3 linked regions of the Coturnix japonica genome follow. The protein of the gene in region 2 interacts with the protein of the main gene of each other region in a biochemical or structural test. Links are inferred from orthologs where the notes say so. Each region holds a gene or a part of one and is shown on either strand. Other genes may lie near its edges. The genes, in order: OTX2, FOXA2 and HOXA5.

Region 1 (3,744 bases), on a different chromosome or scaffold from region 2:
AGAGCAACATTAATACGGGTGCAACGCTTGCAAACGAGCCAACGAACAACAACAATAACAACAGAAAACGCGGCCCTAAAATAATAATAATAATCAACAATAAATTCATTGCAATTAAAAACGCTCCGTCCCCGTGAACTCGGAGCCCCGCGGAGCCCCCGCGGCCGCGCAACGCCGCAGCCCGCGGAGCAACGGCTCCGCTCGGCAATCTGTCACCTTTCCCCCTCCTCCCCCCCGCTCTCCTACCAGTTGCTCTGCCCTCGCTCAATAATAATTACCCCGTCCGAGAATTAATTATAATAAATGTTTTCTTGATAAACTAACGAGATAATCCGGGCGGCACACGCTCCCTAATTACGGGCCGCCGGCCCCGGCCCCGCTGATGGATGCACGGAGGGGCCGTGAGCGCACACTGCGCCCCGGGCACCGCGGGGGTCGGGGGGAAGCTCCGGGGATTGGGGCGCAGAGCTGCGGGACGAAGGGGAATTGGGGCTGGGGTCGGCGAGAAAAAGCTCCCCTCGCACCCTGCCCGCATGATTTCCATCGCTTTGATTCATATTTCTTTATCTTATTTTCCGAAATGGAGGGGTTGGAAGGTTGATATCCCTCATCATAAATATATCCGCAACGGATGCGGTGTCTCATCCCGGCTCTGCCGAGCGGTTGCAGCTCCGGAGAACGAACGGGGCAGTCGGGAGCGACCTCAACTCGGGGCCGATGTCCCATTCCTGCCTCCACAATCGCATTTTTATAAGTGCGTTGTTAATTGAGTTGGGTTTTTTTCCTCTTCTTTCCTTTTCTTATTTTCTCTCTTTATATTTTTTCCTTCTGTTTCTTTCTTTCTTTCTTTCTTTCTTTCTTTCTTTCTTTCTTTCTTTCTTTCTTTCTTTCTTTCTTTCTTTCTTTCTTTCTTTCTTTNTCTTTCTTTCTTTCTTTCTTTCTTTCTTTCTTTCTTTCTTTCTTTCTTTCTTTCTTTCTTTCTTTCTTTCTTTCTTTCTCTCTTTCTCTCTTTCTCTCTCTCTTTCTCTCTTTTCTTTCTTTTCTCTCTTTCTCTCTTTCTCTCTTTCTCTCTTTCTTTCTCTCTCTTTCTTTCTCTCTTCCCCTCTTTCTTCTTTCTCTCTTCCCCTCTCTCTTCTCTCTCTCTCCCTTCCTTCTTTCTCCCCTCTCTTTTTCTTTCTTTCTTTCTCCTTCTTTATTCTTCTAACGAAACAAATAACAAATCCCAACTTCTCACAGCACCAGAACCCCGATCCGATCTCGGCCCCACGGAAGATTTTCTCCCTAACGAAACTTGGGCTCCTTCACAAGGACTTTCCCGACTTTCTCTTTGTCAGCGCGGTACTACTAAGGGGCAAGGAGCCTTTGGGAAACGCTTTCCCACGGCCAAATAATAATCATAATAATTAAAATAAATTAAACGGGGAGATACAAAACAGCCCCAGTCGCTCTTGGACCGGGATCTGTTCACCCCAATCCGTTTTGCCCGCATCGGGGTTCGTAGCCCCAAAGCCCCGAGGATGCCAACCCCCGCTGCTCTCAGCGCTGCTCCGCGGGTGCTCAGCGCACCTCGGCTAAATTACTTCGCGGAGTCTCCACGGCGAGATGAGCGGAGTTCCAGTCGGGGGTGGGGAAAAAAAGAAGAAAAAAAAGAGGAAAAAAGAAGAAGAAGAAGAAGAAGAAAAATATATATATTCCCGGTTCTTTCTCATTTTCCAAGTCCACCTTGGGGCCGGGGAAGAATGAAAGGCCAAAGGACCAAAGGACCAGGAGGGGGGGAATAATACGAAGCGAGGAAACGCGCGGCGAGCCCACGGTGGAAAGCGGGGCTTAAGGGCGAGCCGTGGGAATCGCCTGTCCCCCTCCTCCGCTCCCGCATTTGGGCCTTTGGGGAATGTTTCAGCCTTCGGGGCAGCCTCACTCCGCTCGGCCCGGCCCGGTCCGGCCTCCCCAGGGCAGCTCGGGGTATCCCCGGAGCAGCGAGCGGCACCGCCGCATCCCCGTATCCCGCACCCTTCTCTTCTGCCCTCAGCTCCCGGCGTAAAAGCACTTAAAACCAACATTAGTCATAATAAAATAAGCGTACTAATTTGCTATCACCACCCGCTTCCTCTCTCATCTTCGTTGTGTTTAGGAGCGGTGCCCCACGCGAGGTGCACCCACTTACCTGCGGGGCCGCGGGCAGGGCTGGGGGGCTCGGGGGGCAGAGCCGCCGGTCTGGTCCTCTCCAAATTCAGGGCTGGGGTTGAGCTGGGAGAGAGAAAAGCACAAAGCGGGAGGTTAGGGAGCGCGCCGCATGCACATGCCCACGACACTGAGGTTGAGGGGAGGGGTGGGGTGGGGGGAGAAAGGGGGAGAGGACAGAGAGAGAGGGGGGAAAAAAATGTTTGAAAAAGAAGAAGAAATAAGGGGGGAATAAATAGAAGGGGGGGGGGGGGGGGGAGAGAGGGGGCGGACGGTTGCGGAGAGGGATGCGGGGATGCTCGGGGGCTGCGCTCGGTACGTACAGCGCTGGCGGTGCCGGAGTTGGTCGAGTGATTTTATTTTTAATAATAGTGGCAGGGTGCGTTGGAGCTGAGGTCTCTACCTCTCTCGGGGAGCTTTGCTGAGAAAGCGCCTCTCTGGCAACTTTTTGACGCAAACTCTCCAACCAATGGCAGGGAGAGAGTGATTGACACATCTAAGCCAGGGGGAAAATAATAAAAACACACAACAGGGGGAGGAAAAAACAGGGCCGCTGCTGGACCGGGGGGACAATCAGGAGAGAAATAACAGCCGCCGAAATGACACGAGAATGTCCATTAAAAGGAGATGCTCGGTTTAAAAATATAACATTTGTGGATCGCAACGTGTGAAGTCATTGTGCAAGTGAATGTGATGGACTTTAAGCGGAGAGTGTTTAAGGAAGGAAAGAGGGGACTGTAGGAAGCTTATGGGGGCGGGAGGATAATAGAAACAACAAAAGGTATTAAAATATGGAAGTAAACGTTTTTTGAGGGGGTGGACTGGGACGTATGGCAGAGCCTTTGGCTTAGTGTGGGGCTGGAGGAGAGCAAAGAAGAGGGGAGATCCCACCTCTTGGGGTAATGGAGAGAGGTATAGGGGTGTCCCAGAGCCGGGACCCCCCCAGAGAGCACCCCCTGAGCAGAGCTGAGAGTGTTTGGGATGGGAGAGGGTGAGAGAAGGGGACCCGGTCTGTCCTGGGGGGCACAGGCATGTGTGTGAGTGTGTATAGGTGTAATATAAACATATGTATATGTACAGATAAATACAAGCAGTCATGAAATAAACAGGAATACACACACACAAAAAAAAACCCGCATACTCATACTAAAATACATGAATACACAGGATACATCTGAGATACAGCTCTGGATGGAGCCGCAGAACGAGACTTGCGCTGCGCCGCATTTTCAAAGCGGGATGCGTCAGAATTTTTACAGAAATAAACTCTGCTCAGTAAAGGAGTGGTGGGAGGAGGGCCAGGATCTGCGCAGCTCCCAGCTCGGGCCGAGGAAGCAATGTGACCGCGGAGCTGCGCGGAGCGGCAGCGCTTGGGAAGGGAGCGGAGCGCTCAGCCCCGCTTTGCGCGCACTTTCCTCTCTCGTGCCAAAACGCAGCGGCTTCGTCTTTTTCGTGGGGTGACCTATGTTAATGAAGGGACGGCGATTAATTCGCCTCTCCGTGGCTATCCCCGTTGTGCACAACCCAGTACGGTTGTCCTTGGGTTTAGAGCAACCACCGACC
Region 2 (3,744 bases):
GTCATTTTTTAAATGGCCGCCGCATTTCTCTGGAGCCCAAGTGGGTCTGTTTAAACAAGAAGAGGCTGAACATTTTCAATTTCGATCATCTGGGGTATTTAAAAAGATGTTTCTCTACAAGGCAAGACTATCTTCTTCACTGCTTCCTTCCCTCTTCTCTTAAGGTGTTGATTTTATTGGGCTGCCCAAGGGTAGCGGCATCACAGTTTGACTAGTGAAATAAGGGATGGGATGTGGAAGACCCCACGGGATGCCAACGGGGCTCACATTTAGGACCACACGGTGCTGGTACAGCGGGAAGACTCGGCCTTACCCATCACATATGATCGCTGGTGATGCTCCCAAGTGATGCACTGGAGGGTGACCTCCGCCGTCGGGGGGACCCCCGGGTACAGGCGGGGGACAGGCGGGGTGCCCCTCCACCCCCGGCCCTCCGGTACCGGGGACAGCAGGCGACAGGGGGCGCCGCGCCACCGCTCTTAGACCTCGGGACAGCCCTGCCCGGCCTCCCACCCCTCCACCCCACCCCCCCTTTTTTGGGGGCAAATCCCCCTTTTCCCGGCGCGTCCCCGCCCTGAGGGCAGCTCCCCTGGGGTCTCTCCCTTCTCCTCCAGCCAGCCCTCATCTCCCCTAAATATGGGCGGGAGGAGGCGGGCTGCTTCTATCCCCGCAGCTATCGCGATAGGAGCCAGTTTCGTTTGGAGACGGCTCCCGAAGGCGTTGGGGCGAAGGGAAAAGCCCTCCGGCGAAGCCCCCCGGCTGTTGGGTTTGTGTTAATGTTTAAAAGCTCCCGTTAACCTCGCCAAGCTGTGCTGGGGTTAATGCCGGGAGAGAACCCAAATAAATAACCGAGGGAAAAGGTCGGTGCCGCGCCGCCCCGCCTGGCGCCCGGGCAGGTAGGTACAGGGCGCACGGCACGGGGAGGGCGGCAGCTCCGTGTCCCCCACTGGGCGGGGGGGGAGGCAACACTGCGGGGCCGGGAGGTGTCGGACACCCCAGGGGGCTGCGCTTCCTCCCTGGAAGGAGGGAAGGAGAGAAGGAAGGAGGGAGGGACGGAGGCAGCCGCTCCCCGACGGCTACACTCGAGCAGCGTCCGTGGATCCGTCCGTGGGTGCGGAGCGACGCTTCCCCGACGGCGCCCATCGGGCCCCGCTCTGGCTGCGTGTTCCCCGACGGCGCTGAGCCCGGCCCCGCCGCGCTCCCCTCTCCCAGCTCCCGCCTTCCCCTGCCCTTCCTGTTTGTTTTAGTTACGAAATTGTTGTAGGTACCTGAGGCAGAGCCGCGGGAAGGCATGAGGCAGAGCCGGGCCACGGCCGGGAGGAAGGTGGCCTGAGGCTGAGCAGCCGCGGGGAGAAAGGTGAGTGTGGCTCGGGGGGCTGCGGCCGTCGGAGGGGGATCGGGGCACCGCTCTGTTTGGGCTTTGCGAGGGGACACCTTCCATCGGAGTGCGGCTGGAATGGGGGTCCCGTAGGAGCCCTCCTGTTGAGGGGGGGTGCGGGGGGAGACGCGGGGTGGTTCCGGGAGTCGCTCCGGGGTGCGGGTCGGGAGCCGCGGAGCAGCCGCTCCCGCCTAGGTGTGAGCTGATTATTCAAATGGGCAGCCGAGGACCTGGGGATTGGAGGCTCGCCTGGCCGCTCCGTGCTATATCACTCGGGCACCCACGTCACTGCAGCACTTGTACTCCTCTTCCTCCCTCCTCCTCTTCTTCCTCCCTCCTCCCTCCTCCCTCCTCCTCCTCCTCCTCCTCCTCCTCCTCCTCCGGCTCCTCCATCGCCTCCGGGCGACTCTTCACCGCGAAGCTCTGCGGAAACCCACCCAAGGAGCGGCGGCGAAAAAAAACCCCGGCCCCGGCGGTGCCCCCTCCCTTCCTCCCTCCCTCCTCTTCCTCCTCCTCCAGCGGCTCCGACGGAGGGAGCGCGGCAGAGGGGAGGGAGGGCTGGCGATTTTTTTTTTTTTTTGGGGGGGGGGATTGCTCTCTCTCTCTCTCTGCGTCGTCGTTTGTTGTGTCTGTTAAATTTTAAACTGCCATGCACTCCACTTCCAGTATGCTGGGAGCGGTGAAAATGGAAGGCCATGAGCACACGGACTGGAGCAACTACTACGGGGAGCCCGAGGTAAGGGGGTGGGGGGGGTGTTGGAAGCCGGGCGGCCCGATCCCCGCGCCGGGATACTGGGGGGAAACCTCAACTTTGTCGCTAAATATTCTCGAGGCGCTGAACTGCGGCTGGGGGACAGCGGGGGCGACGGGGGCAGCGGGGCCGCCCCCCCCAGCCCCCGGGAGAGAGCGGGGCTGCCGGGCAGCGAGTCGCGTTTTTTCCTTTCCCCCTACCCTCCCCCCCACCCCCCACCCGAGGTATTTTTCTCTCTTTGCTCGGGATTGTCTCTTTTCCTCCAGCTTGGATCCTCTGAGCTCGGTGAGATCCCGACTTTTTCAATATCTAAATTTGGGCTTTTTTCTTTCTTTCTTTTCTTTCTTTCGGTTTTTTTTTCTTTTTTTTTTTTTTCTTTTTTCTTTCTTTTTTTTTTTTTTTCCGTTAATGAGCGATTCAACACCCCCCATCTCCCGCCGATGCCCCCCGGGGGTTTAACCCTTCCCACCCCGCAGCTCCAGAGCTTCAGGAACTCCCTTGGGCTGGGCTGGGGGTGCCTTACTTGGGAACTGCTTTCATTTCCAATCCCCCCAAATCTCCCTTATCTTTCTCGTTTGTCTATGCAGAGCTACTCCTCGGTGAGCAACATGAACTCGGGGCTGGGCTCCATGAACACCATGAACACCTACATGACCATGTCGGCCATGAGCACCACAGCCAACATGACAGCAGCCACCTCCATGAACATGTCCTACGCCAACACGGGCATGAGCCCTTCACTCGCCGGCATGTCCCCAGGTGCGGGGGCCATGGCCGGCATGGGCTCGGCTGGCGTGGCAGGGATGGGTGCCCACCTGAGCCCCAGCATGAGCCCCATGGGAGGCCAAGCGGGCTCTATGAACGCCCTGGCCCCTTACACCAACATGAATTCTATGAGCCCCATCTATGGGCAATCCAACCTCAACCGCTCGCGGGACCCCAAGACGTACCGGCGGAGCTACACTCACGCCAAGCCCCCTTACTCCTACATCTCGCTCATCACCATGGCCATCCAGCAGTCACCCAACAAGATGCTGACCCTGAGCGAGATCTACCAGTGGATCATGGACCTCTTCCCCTTCTACCGCCAGAACCAACAGCGCTGGCAGAACAGCATCCGCCACTCACTTTCCTTCAACGACTGCTTCCTCAAGGTGCCCCGCTCCCCAGATAAGCCAGGCAAAGGCTCCTTCTGGACGCTGCACCCCGACTCGGGCAACATGTTTGAAAACGGCTGCTACCTGCGGCGCCAGAAACGCTTCAAGTGTGAGAAGCAGCTGGCGACCAAGGACGGCGGTGGGGGCAAGAAGGGGCCGGGGCAGCCCCCCAGCCAACCCCTAGGGGAGGGCAGCTCCTCGGGGGGCTCCGAGGGCTCAGCGGGTGCTGAGTCACCAGCGAGCGCCTCACCGTGCCGGGACCACAAGCGCGCCCTGGCCGAGCTGAAGGGTGCGGCGGCAGGGCCGAGCCCCGGGGAGCCATCAGCGGCCTCTCCAGCACAGCACCTGCTGGCCCCGCCACACGCCGGGCTTCCTCATGACGCCCACCTCAAGCCCGAGCACCACTACGCCTTCAACCACCCGTTCTCCATCAACAACCTGATGTCGTCCTCCGAGCA
Region 3 (3,744 bases), on a different chromosome or scaffold from region 2:
ATTAATTACACAGAAATTATATAGGTAGTTCGAATAAAAATATTTGTAACAGCTTGGAGCTATACGGACATTAACACTTGACCACACATGCACAGTTAAGCAGGTTGAGTGCAACACATAACATTTGTACTAAACCGGGGCAGGGTTTCTTTCTCTCTTTCTCTCCCTTTTTTTTTTCCCTTTTTATTATTTTTTTTCTTTTTTTTCTTTTGCCTTTTTTTTTTTTTTGTAACAGTTACTTCAAGTAACACAGCTCGCTTCATATAAATAAGTTAAAACATCTATTATTTTTTTTTTCCAAGACAAAGCCATTCAAGACAAAGAAATGTACGATAAAAGCAGATCTACTTATACACGCGAGAGAATGGTAATAAACAGGCTCATGATTAAAAGATGAATAAGGGCGACAAGAACGGGGTTTCTTCACAGAAGTAACACAAGGAAGTTTCAGAAAGTCAACTTAGTACTGACATGAGACGCAGGGTCAGCTAATACTGCTCAGTACTTTTAATTGATCAAACGCTTAGGGACGGAATGCCCCCCCTGCAGCTGCCATGCTCATACTTTTCAGCTTATTATCCTTTTTCCATTTCATTCTCCTGTTTTGGAACCAGATCTTTATTTGTCTCTCTGAGAGGCAAAGAGCATGTGCTATTTCAATCCTTCTTCTGCGGGTCAGGTATCTATTGAAGTGAAATTCCTTTTCCAGCTCCAAGGTCTGATACCGGGTGTAAGCAGTCCGAGCCCTTTTCCCTTCTGGTCCCCCTATGTTGTCTGGAAGAGAAAAGTACAGCGTTTAGATTCCCAGCAGCGACCTGGAGCCCTCTTGTCTCCCTGCAGCTCCGAGCCACCAGGACCGTTATTCTCAGCCCAGCTCGGTTTTGTTGCTGGGCTGGAGAAATGCTCAACAAGTTTCCCCCTCCTGCCCCTTTAGAAAAGCCTTTGGGGGGAGGGGGACCTGGCGGCCGTGCTAAGTTTCCGCTCGGATTTCGGTTTCGTTCTTTCTACAAAAGAGATTTTAGCGCGTTTTCGAGGCGAATCCCCCTCTCTCTTCCCCAGGCTCGGCTCTGCGGAAGACGCCTGCGGTGCACGCCAGGCTCTCGGGGCCGCGGAGCGAGGCGGAGGCGCGCAGCCCGTTCCCACGGCGGAGCTCCGGGAGGCGGCGAACCCCCGGCTCTCCCCGGCGGGCCGGGCGCTGCAGGTAGCGGGGCCGGGGCTCTCCGCACCCCCCTCCGCCCGCTCCCTGCGGCCAGGGGGGTGCTCCCCCTCCTCCTCCCCGCGCCTTCCCGGCGGCGAGAGCTGCCCTCCTCGCCCCCTGCTATTCTCTTTTCGATTCGGCTCGGCTACGCAAATAGGGTCGGCAGCGCCGTTCCCGGCGGAGGGTCCCCCCGGAAGGGCAGAGCCGGCAGCGGGTCCCGCTCTGGGGAAGGCTCCCCGCCGCCCCACGCTCCCCGCGAGCCGGCCGGGAGCCGGGTCGGGGCCGGGCGCTGCCTATCTCCGGGGGGAGCTCCCGCTCAGGGAGCGGGGGCTGCGCTCTCCCACGCCCTCCTTCCTCTCCCCCCTCTCCCCGACCTTGCTCGGTGCGGACACCGGCTTTATATTCAATCCTGCTTTTCCTCCAGAGAAATAAAGAAAGAAGAGGGTATTTGCTTTACCATGACTTATGTGCAGCTTTCGCATCCAAGGGTAGATCTGGGGCTGGGAAGGCTGTGCTGTGCTTTGGTCGCTCGGGGCACTTGCCTGCTCGCTGCTCGCCGGAGTGTCTTCCTCGGTGCCGGACGAGGTGCCAACCCCGTCCCTGCTGATGTGCGTGCTGCTGCTGGAATTGGACGAAGTGCTGCTGGAGTTGCCCAGGGAGTTTTTCACCCCGTGGTGACTCTCGCTGACGGGCGAAGCGGCCACGGCGGTGCAGGGCAGGGGGTCGGGGGGAGGCGAGTGGGAAGCGGCCGCGGACTGGCTGTACCTGGGCTCTGTCGAGGCAGAGGTGCTGTTGGCCGGGTAAGTGCGGGCTCTCTCGCTGGCACCAAAGTGGGTGGAAGCGGAGCGCCCGACGCTGAGGTCCATGCCATTGTAGCCGTATCCGTACCTGCCGGAGTGCATGCTGGCGGAGTCCCTGTATTGCTCGCTCACCGAGCTGTGATCTCCATAATTATGTAACTGGTAGTCCGGGCCATTTGGATAGCGACCGCAAAATGAGTTTACAAAATAAGAGCTCATTTGTTTTTTGATATGTGTGCTTGATTTGTGGCTCTTGGTCGTTTTGTGCGTCTATAGCACCCTTGCACAATTTATGATGAATTATGGAAATGACTGGGACATGTACTTGGTTCCCTCCTACGTAGGCACCCAAATATGGGGTACGGCTTCAAATCACGTGCTTTTGTTGTCCAGTCGTAAATCCTGCCTGATGACCTCTAGAGGTAAACTCGTGCACTGGTGGGGGAGCTGGGAGGGCGCGGGCGGCCCGGGGCGCGCCGCCGCCGCGCGCATCCGCCACCGCCGCCTCCCGTCCGCCGGCTTCGAGCGCCACCCGCTGGCAAAGCGGGGGATAACGGAGAGGAGAGGGGTCGGCGCGGGGTGACGGCCCCCGACGGCGGCGGCGGAGGGAGCGGGGAGCGGGCGGGCGGCGGGGCAGCCCCGGGGTAGAGCCGGGAGCGCCGCTCCGGCTCCGCAGGGTGAGGCTCATGTGCCGCGATTGCCTCGAGCTCCGTGGCCGGTGGTGGAGGCGGTCACGTCCCTCGCACGATCCGCGTTATTATATGTATTTTGGGGTTTGTACCGTTTTTCCCGTGGCGGTTGTTTCGAGAGGCAGGCGGGTCCCGCCGTTCCGCCGTTGGCAGGTAGCTCTGAGGGATGAGAGCCGTGCGGCGCTTCCCGAGCTAGCGGGAGGATCGCAGGCGGTCGGTGTCGGTGCTACTTTTCTGCCTCCCAGCAAAAAAAAAGAGGAAACATAAATCCGATGGTGGCCATTTTGCAGTAGGATTTTGGAGCTCTGGCTTGGGAAATGTTGAGGAGCGGTAGCCCAAATTGCGCTGCCTCTCGAACAAAAGAGCCTCGGTGCGCACACGAGTGGGTTTGTGCACAGCCTCACAGCACATTCACACGCAAACAATACAACATATAGAGATAGAACGTATATATCAATCGCTGCGCTTCTGTTATTTATACAGACCCCGAAATGGAACCATGTTATTGCAGCTATTTCTCTTTAAAACATATTTTTTTCTCTCCTTTTTTTTTTTTTCCCCCTTTTTTTTTTTTTTTTCTCTTCCAGTGTTAGGAAATGCGGATGTAAATTAAGGTACCACAAAAGAGGGGAAGAATATCCCCGAGTTAATATGACCGACACTTCCCTTTTAGTTCAAAAGATGGGAAAGAAAACAAAAAAGAAAGATAGACAGATAGATAAAGAGAAAAGAAAGAAAGACGGACCCCAAATCCTTGAATCCCCGAGAAATGAAGTCCATAATTCAGTGCAGAGCTGAGCTCACTGAAATCTCAGTGCGAGCTCAACGGGAACCACAGAAATTCGCCCTTTCAAAGCCTCTCATCTCTCTCGCCCTAAAGTTTATCACCGAGCTCTTACTCGGTATCAGTAGTGCAGATTGGGGTCAGTTTAGTGGCATTTAGAAATCTCCCAGCAATTCATTTTCGCCTTATCCTCAAGCTTATACCCAGTTTTTTATACAACGATTTTTTTACAGTGATTTTTTTCTGCTTTTTTTTTCTATTTAAATATCTTCT

Evidence for each region.
Region 1: the proteins of FOXA2 (region 2) and OTX2 form a complex in vitro, tested with the Homo sapiens proteins (2 studies listed by BioGRID). The link is inferred for Coturnix japonica from reciprocal best matches to the Homo sapiens genes FOXA2 and OTX2.
Region 3: the proteins of FOXA2 (region 2) and HOXA5 form a complex in vitro, tested with the Homo sapiens proteins (2 studies listed by BioGRID). The link is inferred for Coturnix japonica from reciprocal best matches to the Homo sapiens genes FOXA2 and HOXA5.

The regions. Positions count from the first base shown.
Region 1 is NC_029520.1:50,710,102-50,713,845, reverse strand, and holds the start of OTX2 (homeobox protein OTX2), read right to left. Parts: upstream 2,635-3,744; 5' UTR 2,505-2,634; intron 2,248-2,504; 5' UTR 2,165-2,247; intron 1-2,164. UniProt on the Homo sapiens protein: Transcription factor probably involved in the development of the brain and the sense organs. Can bind to the bicoid/BCD target sequence (BTS): 5'-TCTAATCCC-3'.
Region 2 is NC_029518.1:4,401,593-4,405,336, reverse strand, and holds the start of FOXA2 (hepatocyte nuclear factor 3-beta), read left to right. Parts: upstream 1-1,537; 5' UTR 1,538-2,027; coding exon 2,028-2,114; intron 2,115-2,716; coding exon 2,717-3,744. UniProt on the Homo sapiens protein: Transcription factor that is involved in embryonic development, establishment of tissue-specific gene expression and regulation of gene expression in differentiated tissues.
Region 3 is NC_029517.1:29,863,405-29,867,148, forward strand, and holds the start of HOXA5 (homeobox protein Hox-A5), read right to left. Parts: upstream 2,422-3,744; 5' UTR 2,218-2,421; coding exon 1,656-2,217; intron 775-1,655; coding exon 524-774; 3' UTR 1-523. UniProt on the Homo sapiens protein: Sequence-specific transcription factor which is part of a developmental regulatory system that provides cells with specific positional identities on the anterior-posterior axis. Also binds to its own promoter.